2 linked regions of the Caenorhabditis elegans genome follow. The protein of the gene in region 2 purifies or fractionates together with the protein of the main gene of each other region. This does not show direct contact. Each region holds a gene or a part of one and is shown on either strand. Other genes may lie near its edges. The genes, in order: ain-1 and alg-2.

What was found.
Region 1: the proteins of alg-2 (region 2) and ain-1 purify together in Caenorhabditis elegans (affinity purification with western blotting; one study listed by BioGRID). This does not show direct contact.

The regions. Positions count from the first base shown.
Region 1 is NC_003284.9:16,611,332-16,618,323, forward strand, and holds ain-1 (ALG-1 INteracting protein), read left to right. Parts: upstream 1-2,119; 5' UTR 2,120-2,161; coding exon 2,162-2,342; intron 2,343-2,385; coding exon 2,386-2,538; intron 2,539-2,595; coding exon 2,596-3,414; intron 3,415-3,539; coding exon 3,540-3,631; intron 3,632-3,675; coding exon 3,676-4,191; intron 4,192-4,540; exon of another isoform or gene 4,541-4,689; intron 4,690-4,751; coding exon 4,752-4,916; 3' UTR 4,917-6,344; downstream 6,345-6,992.
Region 2 is NC_003280.10:871,330-879,473, forward strand, and holds the start of alg-2 (Protein argonaute-1), read left to right. Parts: upstream 1-1,882; coding exon 1,883-1,937; intron 1,938-2,322; exon of another isoform or gene 2,323-2,451; intron 2,452-2,830; coding exon 2,831-2,933; intron 2,934-3,530; coding exon 3,531-3,704; intron 3,705-3,773; coding exon 3,774-4,114; intron 4,115-4,157; exon of another isoform or gene 4,158-4,358; intron 4,359-4,405; coding exon 4,406-5,467; intron 5,468-5,698; coding exon 5,699-6,657; intron 6,658-7,108; coding exon 7,109-7,147; 3' UTR 7,148-8,144. Other genes in the region: fbxc-51 (F-box C protein), read left to right, coding at 96-270.

The sequences.
Region 1 (6,992 bases), on a different chromosome or scaffold from region 2:
GATTATCAACAAAAAAGAAAAGAGTTAAACCATGTAAAACTTTTAGTCAAGTGTTAGAAATGTGTTGATTGAGTAGCCCCTCTCGAGACGCGAGTAAGAAATCGATTGATCAACGATAGGTGGGAGGCAGTGCGCTGGGCCCTACGCTCACCATCGGCATCTCTGTGCAACGCGTACTATCTCGACGACCCATCTGTCCAATTGCTACACGCATTCGCGATCTTGTTCCGCGCTGGACCACACTACCAACACTTCCCGCTTGACCCTTTCTCTCTCCCGGAGCCTAATAACACCTGCTTTTTCTACTGGTCGTTTTTTCTTTTATTAATTGCCTCTTTTCTCTCAGCGTGTTTGTTTTTTGTCTTCTATTTTCAATTTTGAAAAAGAAAAACATTTTTCTCGTTATTCAAAAGTTTCTCTTCATGTTTTCTTCTCCGTGTGAAAAACAGTATAGATTTCTCATTCCCAATTCTCTTCCACCTCACCGGGTCACGTGAACTTGATGCGAAGGAAAACAAACCCTCAACTGTCTAGCACTCACAGTTTCTGGTTCCCGAGCGGTGGCGGCACACAAGGTCGAAAAAATTCAGTCACCAAAAATTGATAGCCTCGGCTGTTTTGGCGTGTCAAATTAATGAACACTGTCTTAAGAATTTCAACATAATGTTTCATCTTTTTCCTTTTTAGATTTATCATCTCCTGTTTGAATTTAAATATTTCACAAAGTACAAAAAGTTACGATATAGCCAACTTTTCATAACAGAGAAAAACCACTGTAATGTCAAATTTTCAGAAAATTGGTGAATTTCTGTTAAATATCCTTAGTATCCTCAATTAACAAGTTCCTAATCAATTTCTCTCCGAATCTATTTCCAACCAAAAAGTGTTTCAAGTTTGGCATGTCGCCCGTCCCGCTGTTCATCCCGTCCATCTTCGCTCGTGTGTCCCGTCCATCCCACATATCGAAAATATATTGGTAGTGTGTGTATGTGTGTGTGTGTGTAGAACTGGCCACACAGACGTATATACTGTTAGATACGGGGAGAACCACCAGAGATGAAGAGAAATGGTGGTGAGTGGTCGAGCGCACGTCGATGAGTGTCTATGAGTGCGGTGGTGAGCGCATGAGCGCGTGAGTGTGCGGCGGTGCGGTTTCTCCGTCTCTACACGACATGAAACCCTCTCAGTTGACCCTACGTTCCTTCTTCTCTCTGCACACACACACACATACACACAGCGGTCTCATTGATTCGTGAAAGAAAAAGAGAGAGCGAGAGTGCGGGAGGGTGGTCTGATGAGTGAAGCGTGAGCGGACAGACTCACGGGGGTTAGTAGTAGTGAAGCGAGGAAAAAGTGGAAAGACGGGGAGTTTCCGCTGCGTCTCTCGCCCGGCAAGCAATTTGATGTTGGCCTCTCACTATGAGATGGAGAGAGACAGACAGGGAGAGAAACGCGCAATGTCGTCGCCGGTCGCCTTCTCGCCCTCGATCGGGGTAGCCAGCAGCAGCAGCAGCAGCAGCAGCAGCAGCCCAGCCAACCAGCCTGCGAAGCACCAGACCCCTCTTCTAACTAGTCTCTCTCCTTCTTCTGCTTTTTCCTTCTCCTTTCTCTCTTTCCTGCTTTTTCCTTAACCCCTTGTCCGCCTAGTTCCCACCTAGCCAGCAGCGCCCCGGGGGCTTTTGGGGCCTTTCTTTACAACAGTAGTTATGTAGGTTGTACAAAACTTATTAAATTTTTTAATGTTTACCTTTTTACAGGAGAACGCTTTTTACACTGAACTTGTTTCTATCTAGCAGTATTGCATTAATTAATAGTTTATGCTTTCTAACTTTGACAATGATCTTGTAAAACATAATTTTGCTCAATACTGTTTGAATGGCTTTAGATCATTTTTTATAAAATTTCTATTAAGCTGATACTCCTGGTCCGTAAAATTTTCAATTGCCTTCATGAAATCCTGCTCGTTACGCGGCTAATGTTGTTCGACCAATGTACCCATGTCGAAATCAAATAGTGTTATCAATCAGTCTATCAGTTTCTTTGTTTTCTCTTGTCATCTATCATTTACCATCACGCTCTCGCCAAAACTCATCAATCAATAATATTCCATTTTTTACAGATAAGCTCAAACTCTGATCGCCAGAGCGCGATCAACGCAACCATGGAGAGTCTCGCAAAAAACTTCAACAACATTTCAATAGACGACGCAGCGTGGCATCCTAACGACCAACAGCCTGTATGGGGAAACAACGGTCTCCAGCAGCAACGTGTCTGGGCTCCGCCGGTACCGCAGCCACAGTTCCCAAACAGATCGCCATGGCAACAGGAATCGAACGATATCGGTAATTGGCAATTGTAATCTTGATGACGTAAAAATTGTTTCAGAGCCAAATGTCAACGAAGCCCTTGTTGGACTCAGTGGCACAGGCTCATCAAGTCAAAGCCAATGGGGTGGCATTCAGAATACAGATTATGAGAAACAGATATGGGGTGATCCACCATTGAGCGATGTGCAGTATCCACTTCAACCACATGCCTGTAAGTTCAAATTTGATTAGACGTTATATTTATAAATTTAAATCTATAAATTTTCAGCGTTCGGTGAATTGAATAGTCTTGGAGGTCAATCTGCGCCTTGGTCCATAGGGTCTCAGCCAGCGCACCCGGTTTGGAGTAACGGAGGAATGGGAAAAGAATCTGATGACTTTTGGAAACAGCAACAGCCTCAACAGCATCAGCAATACCCGATGCCATTGCTGCAGGGAGCCTGGAATACAGGCATGAGACATGGACCACCAGGACAAGGACAACGTAGTGGGCCAATGATGCAGCAGCAGCAAGACTACCAAGGGGGATGGGGTGGCCCGAATAACATGGGTGGCAACAAGCAGATGAACCGTCCATGGGGGCAGGACAGCAATCGTGGAATGTCAGGCATGCCGCCCCGAAACGGTCGTCCAAACCACAACCAGGGACGGTACTCTGGCAATATGGGTGGCGGTGTTGACGTTTCAGTTCCACCACCGATGGATATGCACATGGGAGGTGGTATGGGTGGAATGAGAAATATGGGTGTTGCTCCGAATAGTGGACACGGATCATGGAAGAATAACAATGCTGGTGGAGGTCAAGGAGGCCACGGCGGTCAAAGAAACTACAACAACCGTGGTGGAATGGGACACAGTGGAAGCCAGAGTGGCGGAGGATCCAATATGTGGAACAGCACCGGAAACAATGGAAGTGGTGGAAGCATGCAGCAGTTCATGGGAGGAGACCAGCAGTACAACAATCCATTCCCAATCGGCGGAGCTGCTGATGATCTCACACTGACTGTTTGGCATGATCCAAACGGAGAACTCAAGAAATGGCAGAGAGATACTGGAGTGTCCTATTGGGGAGACCCGGAGAAGCAAAGTGAGTTTTTTAAAAAAATATTTCCTTGGTGGGAATTGAATGAAATTCTCCATTGTTTCATGAAAAACTGAAATTAGTCTAAATGTGTTGCTATAGAAATCACCTATTATCGACTATTTTTGCAGCTGACCGTACCATTAGCTTGTGGATTGTTGGCGAAGGTGCCGATGAGGATTTGGAAACTGCATTGAACCGATGTCCAGTACCACAGAAAAAGGTAATATTGTTGTCTTAGGTATTAAATTGAACTTCATGTCTCAGGGAGAGGACAATCAACGTTTCCCATTCCCAGTACCAGCGAAACGGCCAATTGTTGTGACCGGATGGGGAGAGCTTCCAGAAAATGATCCAAACAATCCGTCCAAGAGCGAGTCGACGATATTCGACGAGAACAACAGATGGAACGACTTGACAACTGAGCAAAATCCATGGTATCTTCCGAATCAGCACACTTCAACATTCTCCAGTGACAACACCACTGGATCGTGGGTGCAGGGAGGAACAATTCCACTCAATGAGCCCGGAACCAATCAACACGTGGCTGTGGCGGAGATGCTGAAGAACGCTGTCGACAAGGGATACCTGGACCAGAGCGTGACGATGATGGCCAACTTACCGCCAATGGTGCTGCAGTATGTCAATATGCTGCTCGTCAAAATTCCAGCGTTGGATAGTGTGGAGAATGAGCTGAAGCAGATAATTGAGAGTTCTCTGCCAGAAGATGTGAAAGAGGTTGATCCACAGAATCAACAAAAGTACATGAATGATAGTCAAAAGGTGAGGAAGATTGTCGAGTTTTCAGGTTGTTCAGGATAAAATTATGAAAAATTAAAATAGTAGAAGCCAAAATAATTATCATACTACAACCTATTATTATAGGAAACAAATGAAAGCTAGACATTTTGCTAGAAATTTAAAATATCAACCTTACCAGAAAACTAGCTTAGATCCTGCTTAAACCTAGATTTTAAATTGGGCGGCGGGATAGCTCAGTCGGTAGTGGTGGCCGCTAGCAAGCTGGAAGTCATGAGTTCAAGCCCCCTAGGTTTACCCAGCCTCTATTGAGAAGTGGAGCAATCAACGACTGGATTATCGGTCACGGTCCCCGGCTTGAACGTGGCTCAAATAATAGCCCGGTGGGAGCCCCACCAGACAGTGCACTACGGAACTGAATTCCAGATCCGCAGTGCATAACACCTGAAGTACGGATCGTCCTTTAATCCTTTAATATCAAACTTTTGAAAAATATTAGACGCATCGCTAAGGAGCTCAGATTACTTCAGTTCGATTGCTTGCAAAGATGAATAATATGAATACCAAACAAATCAATTTTCCAGCTTGAACACAATCGTCTCATCATCGAAGTGACGACAGCAAAGATTGAAGTTCAAGAATACTCGAAAAAAGTGAACCGTGCGCTGATGGACGCTGGAATTGTGCAACCGCAGGAGCAACGTGCGCCAGCCTCAACGGAGGACTATCACTACTCGTTCTTAGAATAGATTGTATCGCCCACCGATCTTCTCTCCCACACACGAACAATTATCATCATTACTTTTATTTTGTGTTTCGCACTGTAATCTGAATTTTAAGTTTGGAAATTTGAAATTCAAAGTTTCAGCCTTGTCATCATCATTTCCCATTAACTTGTCTCAGTGACCTTTGACATTTTCTTCAATACTTTTTTACTCTCCCCCTTTCTCTTTAATTTCGTGTGTGTGTGTGTCTGTTTCCTTACTTTATTGCCTCCGGATTTCTATTGTAAACGTGGTCTTGTGAATGTTCTCTCTATCTTGTCGTCTCCTTCCTTCTTTACTGCTGATCAGACGGGGAAAATTACACGTTTTTTGTATTTCACCTCTCGTTTTGCCATCTCCAGATAATCAATTTTTCTTGTTTAAGGGGAGGCTCTCGCCTTTCCCCCTCCCACTAAGAATAATTTGGTGGCTGGTGCTTGGTCTCACAGGGATTCCAGGTTTATGTCTGCCAGTTCATACCTTCTCTTCTCTCTCTCTCATAATAGGGGTCTTTGTTCCAACAATTTCCAACCACGCGTAAATCCATCTTACTTTCCCTTTTCCATAACATCCAAACCTCAAAATATAATAAAGTCCATATTAATCAAAATACTGTATTTCTTTTTTTAAATTGTATCCTTTCGAAAATATAATTCAGTTTTTGGGGCTATTTCCACTAAAACTGCACTTTCTGCAGAGCCTCTGCGAGCATTTTCACCCCACTACTCTTAATCCCCCACGTTCACTTTTCAATCAAGCTATTCCCATTTTTAATTTGAATCAAAATTTCTGTGTATGCTTTGCTTCCAAACGTCATTTGTAATCTGGGTCTTTTCTACGTCATTCTTTACAGTTTCAATGTGCTAATGTCTCCCGTCTCTTGTCTCTTTTTGCTCTCACCCTCACTCACTAAGTTCCAACCAAAAATTGTGATGAAATTATCCCTGAAAACTTGTCAAAATTGGTTCAATCAGCTACATGCGCACACTTTGAAAATCATACAAAAATAAATACAAGAAACGCCTTTCTAAACGATACATAAACTCGTCGTCCCGGCAGCATTTCCCTAGAAACCAGGTCAATTCCTAGTACGGCCCTTTTCCGAATTCTCGCTCTCAATTTCAAACAAAATGGTGTTCTCATTTCATTGTCTTCTTCTCCAAACTTACCGGACTTCAAATAAACTCATTATGTGCAGTACAGTTTCACAATTCGGGACCCTCTCTCTTCCAGAAATTTGTCAATTCCCCTCTCTCATTTCTCACTCCGGCTCTCAAAAATCTTGATTAAATCTCGCATGAACATGTAATAATCAAAACTGTTTTCTTATCTCTTACCATACTTTACTTGTAACACCCATGCCGTCCAACATCACCTTTGGTTCTATTCTCGTATAATAAAACGTTGTGAATTAAACTCTGGAATGTTCAATTTTAGGGAGCAGAAATGAAATAGCACTGTTTCTGTATTTATTTTAATATTTATTTCAAGTTTTAGGTTTGAGTGTATGATAGAAACACAATTAATATTTTGTATTCAAAATAGCCAATTTGTTCAGCAACCGCTTTTTGGTATCACCTGTGCAGCCAGAAACCATTTCTCGTAAAATAAAAGCTTGTCAAAAAGATTCTCCCCGGCCGGGAATTGAACCAGGGTCTCGCATGTGACAGACGCGGATACTCACCACTATACTACCGAGGACACATTTTTCAAAGAATTCGGAGGCTTTCAAAATCATTAATGTAAGTTGAAACCAGATTTACTCTGCAATTCTTACTTAAATTGTAGCATTTTGGCCGACTAATAGTATGTAAAATAAATATGAAAAAACAAACATAAAATAATTTGACAGTTGACCTTGTCGCATTAAAACCAAAAGTATACAAAATATAAGCTGCCAATGATGCATGAGCAAATGTATAGCCTGAAAAAATAAGTACTCAAGTTTGCCACTTACAGAATTTCCTATTTGATATCTACATCAAAGACCAATATCTTAAAATGACCATTAAAGCCAAACGAGCAAAAAGATTCTCCCCGGCCGGGAATTGAACCCGGGTC
Region 2 (8,144 bases):
TAATTTTTTATTAAATATTCTAAAATTATCTAATGTACATACTAGTTTATAAACTTCCAAAGTTGGACTCTTCCCAAATTTTCCTTTTTTTCCAGCTGCACCGAATTCCCTCACTGCTTCAACATCCCGCTGACCTATGAATCCGAGCTTAATGTCTACGGTAAGAAGAGAACTGAAAACTTGGACCCTTTGGAGTTTATGCCACATGTCAGTTGGTGCCTGGTCTTCGAAGTGATGCCAATTGGAAGCGCTTTACCATTGGAGGACTGATTTTTCAATTTGCTAATTTTTTTTTTCAATTATGTCTTGTTGTCGTGTTTTTGATAATCTGAAATTTGTTGCGTGGATTTTAATAAAATGTTTTTTTGGTACTAAAAATGTTCCTAAATTTTTCTATATTTTGCTAGTTACCGGCTCAACGAAGGTGGTATATTTTAAAATCTGAATATCTGTAAATCTACAAAAGTTAGCAAAAGATTGTCAATTAACAAAATAATCTACGCAAATTGTTCTATAAGTTGTTAATTTACAAATTTTTTGTAGCTCAACTTTGAGCATAGTTATGATAGCTCTAAGTAGGGACAGGTTACCTGATTTTTATCAATTTTAAAACTTAAATATCTCCAAAAGCATCAAAGCTAATAAAAAATGTTGGGTATCTACGTGTACCTTACCCTTAACGTGGATATGAAGATCGTGTAACGTGAACTCATTATCTATGTATACTAACTTTCTATTTATTCCTTAGTTATGTAATAATAAACTACTCGTCTTCGCCTCCTTGTTCGGCCTCGAATATATAACATTGGCGATCAGGATCTTTCGGGCTCACTGCACCACTGACTTCATGCACATGTCTACTTAGAAGAAAAGACCTCTGAGGTATTGTTTTGATCTACACATGTCTACTGGGAAGAAAAGACCTCTGAGGTGGATCAGGTCAGCTTTGGGAAGAGGCACCTGCCGTGCTCTCTGCAGTTGCAGTCAAGGTGGACAGGAGCGGCTTCTGGTTTGAAGTCGAAAAGAAGAAGGAATCATTGCTCAACTCTTTTGAAGATGCGAGTGAAGGCCACCTATGCGTTTCAAATGCTCAGTCATTGGACGATTGCACAAATTGTTATTGGTCATAACATGATCCACAACCAGGAACTGGGATACAACAGGTTGATGGTGGAACAGGCGGAATCAGTGTGGATGATTCAAGGTTGGGTCTAATATTCAGGCAGCAACGTTTTTTTAGTCTGTTGGTGAAGGGTGGATAGACATCAAAAATATTTCGATTGGTACGGGAAGTGTGGCTAACTTGGAACCCGCAATTGGAGGATGTGAACACCGAAGTACCGTGTGCAAAGGATTGGCAATATCGACGGTCACACTGGAGGGTGGTCCGTGAGAACCTCAGAAGACATTCGTGGATGGCTCCTCACCAAAGCTCTCGTTTGTCATTGAAGAGGGGAGATGTTGGGTATCTACGTGTACCTAACCCTTAACGTGGATATGAAGATCGTGTAACGTGAACTCATTATCTATGTATACTAACTTTCTATTTATTCCTTAGTTATGTAATAATAAACTACTCGTCTTCGCCTCCTTGTTCGGCCTCGAATATATAACAAAAAATTAATAACAGGCAAAATGATTTACACAACTTTCTCTATATTTTCTTAGTTGACAACTTTTTAATATCTCAACTTACCGCAGAGTTATGACGGCTCAAACTAACCTTGGCTCGCTGCCAATTTTCCCACGTTCCTCCTCCTCCTCCCCCTACCCGAACAGTCTGCCCCCAAAACTGTGTCTGCGTCTCCTTATCGCGTCCCGTCATCTAACACTCCCAACGGACCGTCTTCCCACCTGTCAATTTCCCTGTTTCTCTGCGTCTATGTTCCCTCTGCCTGTACACAATGGTCCTAGACTTGGAAAATTATCGATTTTCGGTTAGTGGTCCGAGATTACCCGCGCGCGCGCATTTTTGAGAGGCCAGCTGTGTTGGTCAATCGTTTTTCTTGCGATTAGGGGGTTTCTCTTTTCATTTTCTCAGTTTTAAAAATAGTTTTCATTTTTAATTTTGATTTTTCTCATTAAAACTTTAAAAAGCTTAAAGTTTTCTCTAATTTATTAAGTTTAACATTTAGAAAATAAGATTTTCAACCCAAATTTCCATATGAAAATCGAAATTTTATCCCCTATACAATTCAAATTCCCCACGCTCCCCAACCCTTTTCTAATTGAGTTTTGGGGTGCATCGAAAAACACGCCAGTGCACCGAAAGTGCGCCAGCTAGCCCGTTGACGGCATTCCTTCCCCCGAGGGAACACCCGCTTTCGCAATGACTTTTGAAGCCGATTTTGGAGGTCTAAACTAGTTTTTTTGAGATTTTAACTAGAAATTCGAAAAATTCAGTTTAAATTCTATATAGATCTTAGGTTTTTTGAGGAATCTAGGTAAATTTTGGATTTACCAATTGGTATAGTAAAGTTAGTGTGGTTTTTTAGATTTTTGAAGTTCTCAGCAAATTTTCCTTTAATTTTGCCAAAATTTTCTATATTTTCCACAGCGAACTTTCAATTTTAAAATACTCTGAACAAATTTACTAAATAAAATCGAAAATTTTTTGGCATTTTATCGATTTTTCTCAAGTTGCCAACTATGTAATAACCTCTATGATTTCAGAGAGATTTTTGATTTTTCCCACTTAAGTATGTCTGCACTTTAAACCAAAAATTATGGGGTTTCATGCTTAAAGTTCACATTTTTTCTGTGTCTGGGTGTGCTGCTCCGTTTTGTTCTTTTTCGTGCAGCTTCTCATTATCAAATAAAATGTTTTCAGAAATGCCCGGCGATTCGCTGACATCGTCGTCTTTCATGCCAGATGGTGGCGCAGAAACGTCGAGCTCTTCACAGTTGGGCGGCTCGGCTCACGGAGCAATTGGGTAAGGTTTTGAATTTTGTGCAAAAGTTTTGACTTAAATCTGAGTTTGGCTCGATGTGGAGCAGGAAGTCTAAGCTTCTGGGCTTGTTAGAGCTGGATTTTGGGCCCAAAAACTATATTTGGAGCCCAGAACTGGGAAACTTAAACCAGAGCCTCTAATAACTTGAATCTAGTGAAAAATCTGACACTTACAAAAAAAACTGAAGTTACTTCAGACTTGGACTTTAAATTTAGAATGTGAGCTCACATTGGCTGAGCTTCAAGTTTTTAGAATTTTGGGCTTTAGCTATAATTCTATTAAAATTTTTAGAGAATGTCCGGAAATTTCAGTCCAAGCTTAAGCTTAAGCCTAGACCTAAGCCTAAACTCACACCTAAGCCTAAGCCTAAACCTACGCCATCAAATTTAAGCCTAAGGTAAATACCACCCGACTAAACCAAAGCCAACTCTTGAGCCTAAATCAAATTCCGACCTTCAGCGTCTGTTGAAGCTTTCAATTTAGACTTAGCCTAGGCAAGCCCAGAAACTTTAGCTCCAGGCCTGATTTTTATTTAGTCTTCCTGTAAGATTCCTGAATCTCTAATTTTCCAATTTTCAGCACAAAACCCGACGCAGGCGTCCAATTCCAGTGCCCAGTCCGTCCGAACCATGGAGTCGAGGGCCGATCCATCCTCCTGCGAGCCAATCATTTTGCAGTACGGATCCCCGGAGGTTCAGTCCAACATTATCAAATTGACGTCTTTCCGGACAAGTGCCCAAGACGGGTTAATCGGTAAGTACTTTTTCTATTGATTCGGGGTTCCCTTCAAAACTTCAGCTCTGAAATTTTAATCATTTTCAGCGAGGTAATCGGCTGCCTGATCTCCTCCTTCTCAAAATATTTCACCAATATTCGACCAGTCTACGATGGAAAGCGTAACATGTACACGCGGGAGCCCCTACCAATTGGCACGGAGCCCATGAACTTTGAGGTGACGCTGCCTGGAGATTCAGCAGTGGAACGGAAGTTCTCAGTGACGATGAAGTGGATCGGTCAGGTCTGTCTGTCAGCTCTGGACGATGCCATGGAAGGTAGAGTGCGGCAGGTTCCACATGAAGCCGTTCAGTCGATCGATGTGATTCTTCGCCACTTGCCAAGTTTGAAGTACACCCCGGTTGGAAGGTCGTTTTTCACACCTCCAGGTAAGATCTCAAGTTGCTTGGTTAAGGATCTAGGACCTAGGATTTAGGATCTAGAGTATAGGATCTACGATCTAGGGTCTAGGATCTAGGATCTAGGATCTAGGATCTAGGATCTAGGATCTAGGGTCTAGGGTCTAGGATCTGGGATCTAGGATCTAGGGTGTAGGATCTAGGATCTAGGATCCAGAATCTAGAATCTAGGATCTAGGCTCTGGGATCTAGGCTCTAGGATCTAGGCTCTAGGCTCCTACGCTCCCAGACAAACTTCAATACTCCAACTATATCTTTTAGGCGTCATGAAGCCCGGCATGCAAATGCACCAGGAGAGCAAACTCGGTGGAGGCCGCGAAGTATGGTTTGGATTCCATCAATCCGTCCGACCATCCCAATGGAAGATGATGCTCAACATTGACGTCTCCGCCACGGCCTTTTACCGCGCGATGCCAGTCATCGAATTCGTCGCCGAGGTGCTCGAGCTCCCAGTCCAAGCTCTCGCCGAGCGTCGGGCCCTCTCCGATGCTCAACGCGTCAAATTCACCAAAGAGATCCGTGGACTCAAGATTGAGATCACCCATTGTGGAGCCGTGCGCCGGAAGTACAGAGTTTGCAACGTCACACGCCGCCCGGCCCAGACCCAGACCTTCCCATTGCAACTGGAGACTGGCCAAACTATTGAGTGTACTGTAGCCAAGTACTTCTTTGACAAGTACCGTATCCAGCTGAAGTACCCCCACCTTCCATGCCTCCAAGTCGGTCAGGAGCAGAAGCATACGTACCTGCCACCAGAGGTCTGCGATATTGTTCCAGGACAGCGTTGTCTGAAGAAGCTCACCGATGTGCAGACGTCCACCATGATCAAGGCCACGGCTCGTTCCGCTCCAGAGCGTGAGCGTGAGATTTGTAAGCTAGTAAGCAAGGCTGAGCTCTCCGCGGATCCATTTGCTCATGAATTCGGAATCACTATCAATCCAGCAATGACTGAAGTCAAGGGACGTGTGCTCTCGGCTCCGAAGCTTCTCTATGGAGGTCGTCATCGTGCCACAACTGCCCTTCCGAACCAGGGAGTCTGGGATATGCGCGGGAAGCAGTTCCACACTGGAATGGAAGTCCGTACCTGGGCGATTGCATGCTTTGCTCAGCAATCTCATGTCAAGGAAAATGATCTCAGGATGTTCACGACTCAATTGCAAAGGATCTCTACCGACGCTGGAATGCCAATCATCGGTACCCCTATGTTCTGCAAATATGCTTCTGGAGTGGAGCAGGTGGAGCCGATGTTCAAGTACTTGAAGCAGACCTATTCGGCGATTCAGTTGATTGTGGTGGTGCTGCCAGGAAAGACTCCGATCTATGGTAAGTTGATTAATTGTAGGTGAAAGTTCTAGGGTGTTGGTGTAAGCTTTACGCTCCTAGGTTCCAAGGATCTAGATCTTAGATCATGGAGTCCTGGGATCCTAAGCTGCTAGGCTCTTGGAATCCTAGGTTCCAAGGATCTATGGCCTAGATCATTGGGCTCTGAATCTTGGGACCAAGATCATCTATATCCTTACCTCTTCAACCCCATCTGAAGCTCTATATTTTCAGCCGAAGTGAAACGCGTCGGAGACACCGTCCTCGGAATCGCCACCCAGTGCGTCCAGGCCAAGAACGCCATCCGAACCACCCCGCAGACACTCTCCAACCTCTGTCTCAAGATGAATGTGAAGCTTGGTGGAGTCAACAGCATCCTCCTGCCAAACGTGCGTCCACGGATCTTCAACGAGCCCGTCATCTTCCTGGGTTGCGACATCACCCATCCAGCAGCCGGTGATACCCGTAAGCCATCCATCGCCGCAGTGGTAGGATCTATGGATGCTCACCCGAGTAGATATGCGGCAACAGTTCGGGTCCAGCAGCACCGTCAGGAGATCATTACGGATCTGACATATATGGTTCGAGAGTTGCTTGTCCAGTTCTACCGTAACACGAGGTTCAAGCCAGCCCGAATTGTGGTCTACAGAGATGGAGTGTCTGAGGGTCAACTCTTCAATGTGCTCCAATATGAGCTCCGCGCAATTCGTGAAGCTTGTGTGATGCTTGAGAGTGGATACCAGCCAGGAATCACATTTATCGCTGTGCAAAAGAGACATCACACAAGGCTCTTCGCCGCGGATAAAGCTGATCAAGTAGGAAAAGCATTCAACATCCCACCAGGAACAACTGTAGATGTGGGAATCACGCATCCAACGGAATTCGACTTCTTCCTCTGCTCCCACGCTGGTATCCAAGGAACATCCCGACCATCTCACTACCATGTGCTCTGGGATGACAATGATCTGACGGCCGACGAGCTTCAACAGTTGACCTACCAAATGTGTCATACCTATGTAAGATGCACGAGGTCTGTGTCGATCCCGGCGCCGGCGTACTATGCACATCTGGTGGCGTTCCGTGCTCGTTATCACTTGGTCGATAGGGATCATGGATCCGGAGAGGAAGGATCACAACCTTCGGGGACGTCGTCGGAGGATACAACATTGTCAAGCATGGCCAAGGCCGTACAGGTGAGCATTGTTTGGATTTTGAGATAGAGTGTAGGCAGAAGCATAGAGCTAGGATCTGGGCCTAGATTATTTATCTAGACTGAGATCAGGATCTGGGCTGAGGCTTGAGGCATAGGAGCCTAGGAGTCTAGAAGCGCAGTCCTTGAAGCATAGACCAAGACCCAGACCTAGACCTAGACCTATACCGAGAACTAGACCTAGACCTAGACCTAGACCTGGACCTAGACCTAGACCTAGACCTAGACCTAGACCTAGACCTAGACCTAGACCTAGACCTAAACCTAGACCTAGACCTAGACCTAGACCTAAACCTAGAACTAGACCTAAACCTTGATCTAGACCTTGATCTAGACCTAGACCTAGACCTAGACCTACACCTACACCTACACCTACACCTACACCTACACCTATACCCACGCTTTCCTAACCTACTAATTTCAACTTTTTCCAGGTTCATCCCGACTCGAACAACGTCATGTATTTTGCCTAAGTCTCCAACTACGGATTCTCTGCCATTTCACAGCCACTTGTTATCTATGCATCTCGATTTTCATTTTTCCCGTTTCCTCTGCCCCCTGAGATTTTCATGTTTTTCCTTCCCCTAATTATCAATATCAATCAATACTTTAATATCTTTCAAGCCCAGGTTTATAATATTTCCAATTATGTTAGGTGTTTAATTTTCACCAAGTTTTTTTTCCATTTTTTTCCAAATTTCTTGAGCCATTTTCCATACTAGCCACACAATGCTTTTTCGATCCTCCAAATACTTTCCATTTGTGTCTTTATCCCCCTCTGCTCTAATTAAATACGACCTTATCACTCAATTGGTACACTTTGTTGTAAACTGTCTTTCTCTTAGTATCTGAAAAAAAACCTCATGATTGTCCTGTTTTTCAACCCACCCCCACCCACAATGCCTTTTTGTGTTTCCCAATGGCAAGTCCAACAGAATAAAGTGATATTTTGGAACCCACAGGATGTCCGCTGCTATTAGGGGGCCCGTAAGATGGGCGCTGTTTCTGTACGCCAGTGAGATGTCCGCTGCTTCTAGAACACCATTAGATGTCGGCTGCTCTATTGGGCTCGGGGCATGTCCGCTGCTTTAGCAAACGCTGCTCTATTAAGCCCGTATGATGTCCGCTGCTATTAGGGAACCTGTGGGATGTCCACTGCTTCTAAAAGCCTGATTGTCTCCTACTTTGCACCAGTGATCCCGTAAGATGCCCGCTGCTTCTGAGAACCCATAAGATGTCTGCTGCTGTTCAATATGCCCGTAAAACAGGATCTCAACGTCTTTATTTTGTTATACCACGTTACTATTTTCCAAGTTAGATGTACTGCTTTCTTCTCTCGACCTCTGCTGTCTCACATTCCTGCCTCTCCTCCCATGAAATCCTCTTCCGCGTTGGTCGTATAGAGGATCATATCCACCTCCGTAATAGATTCCGTTACCAATACGACAACAGAATCGAACTCCCATGTAT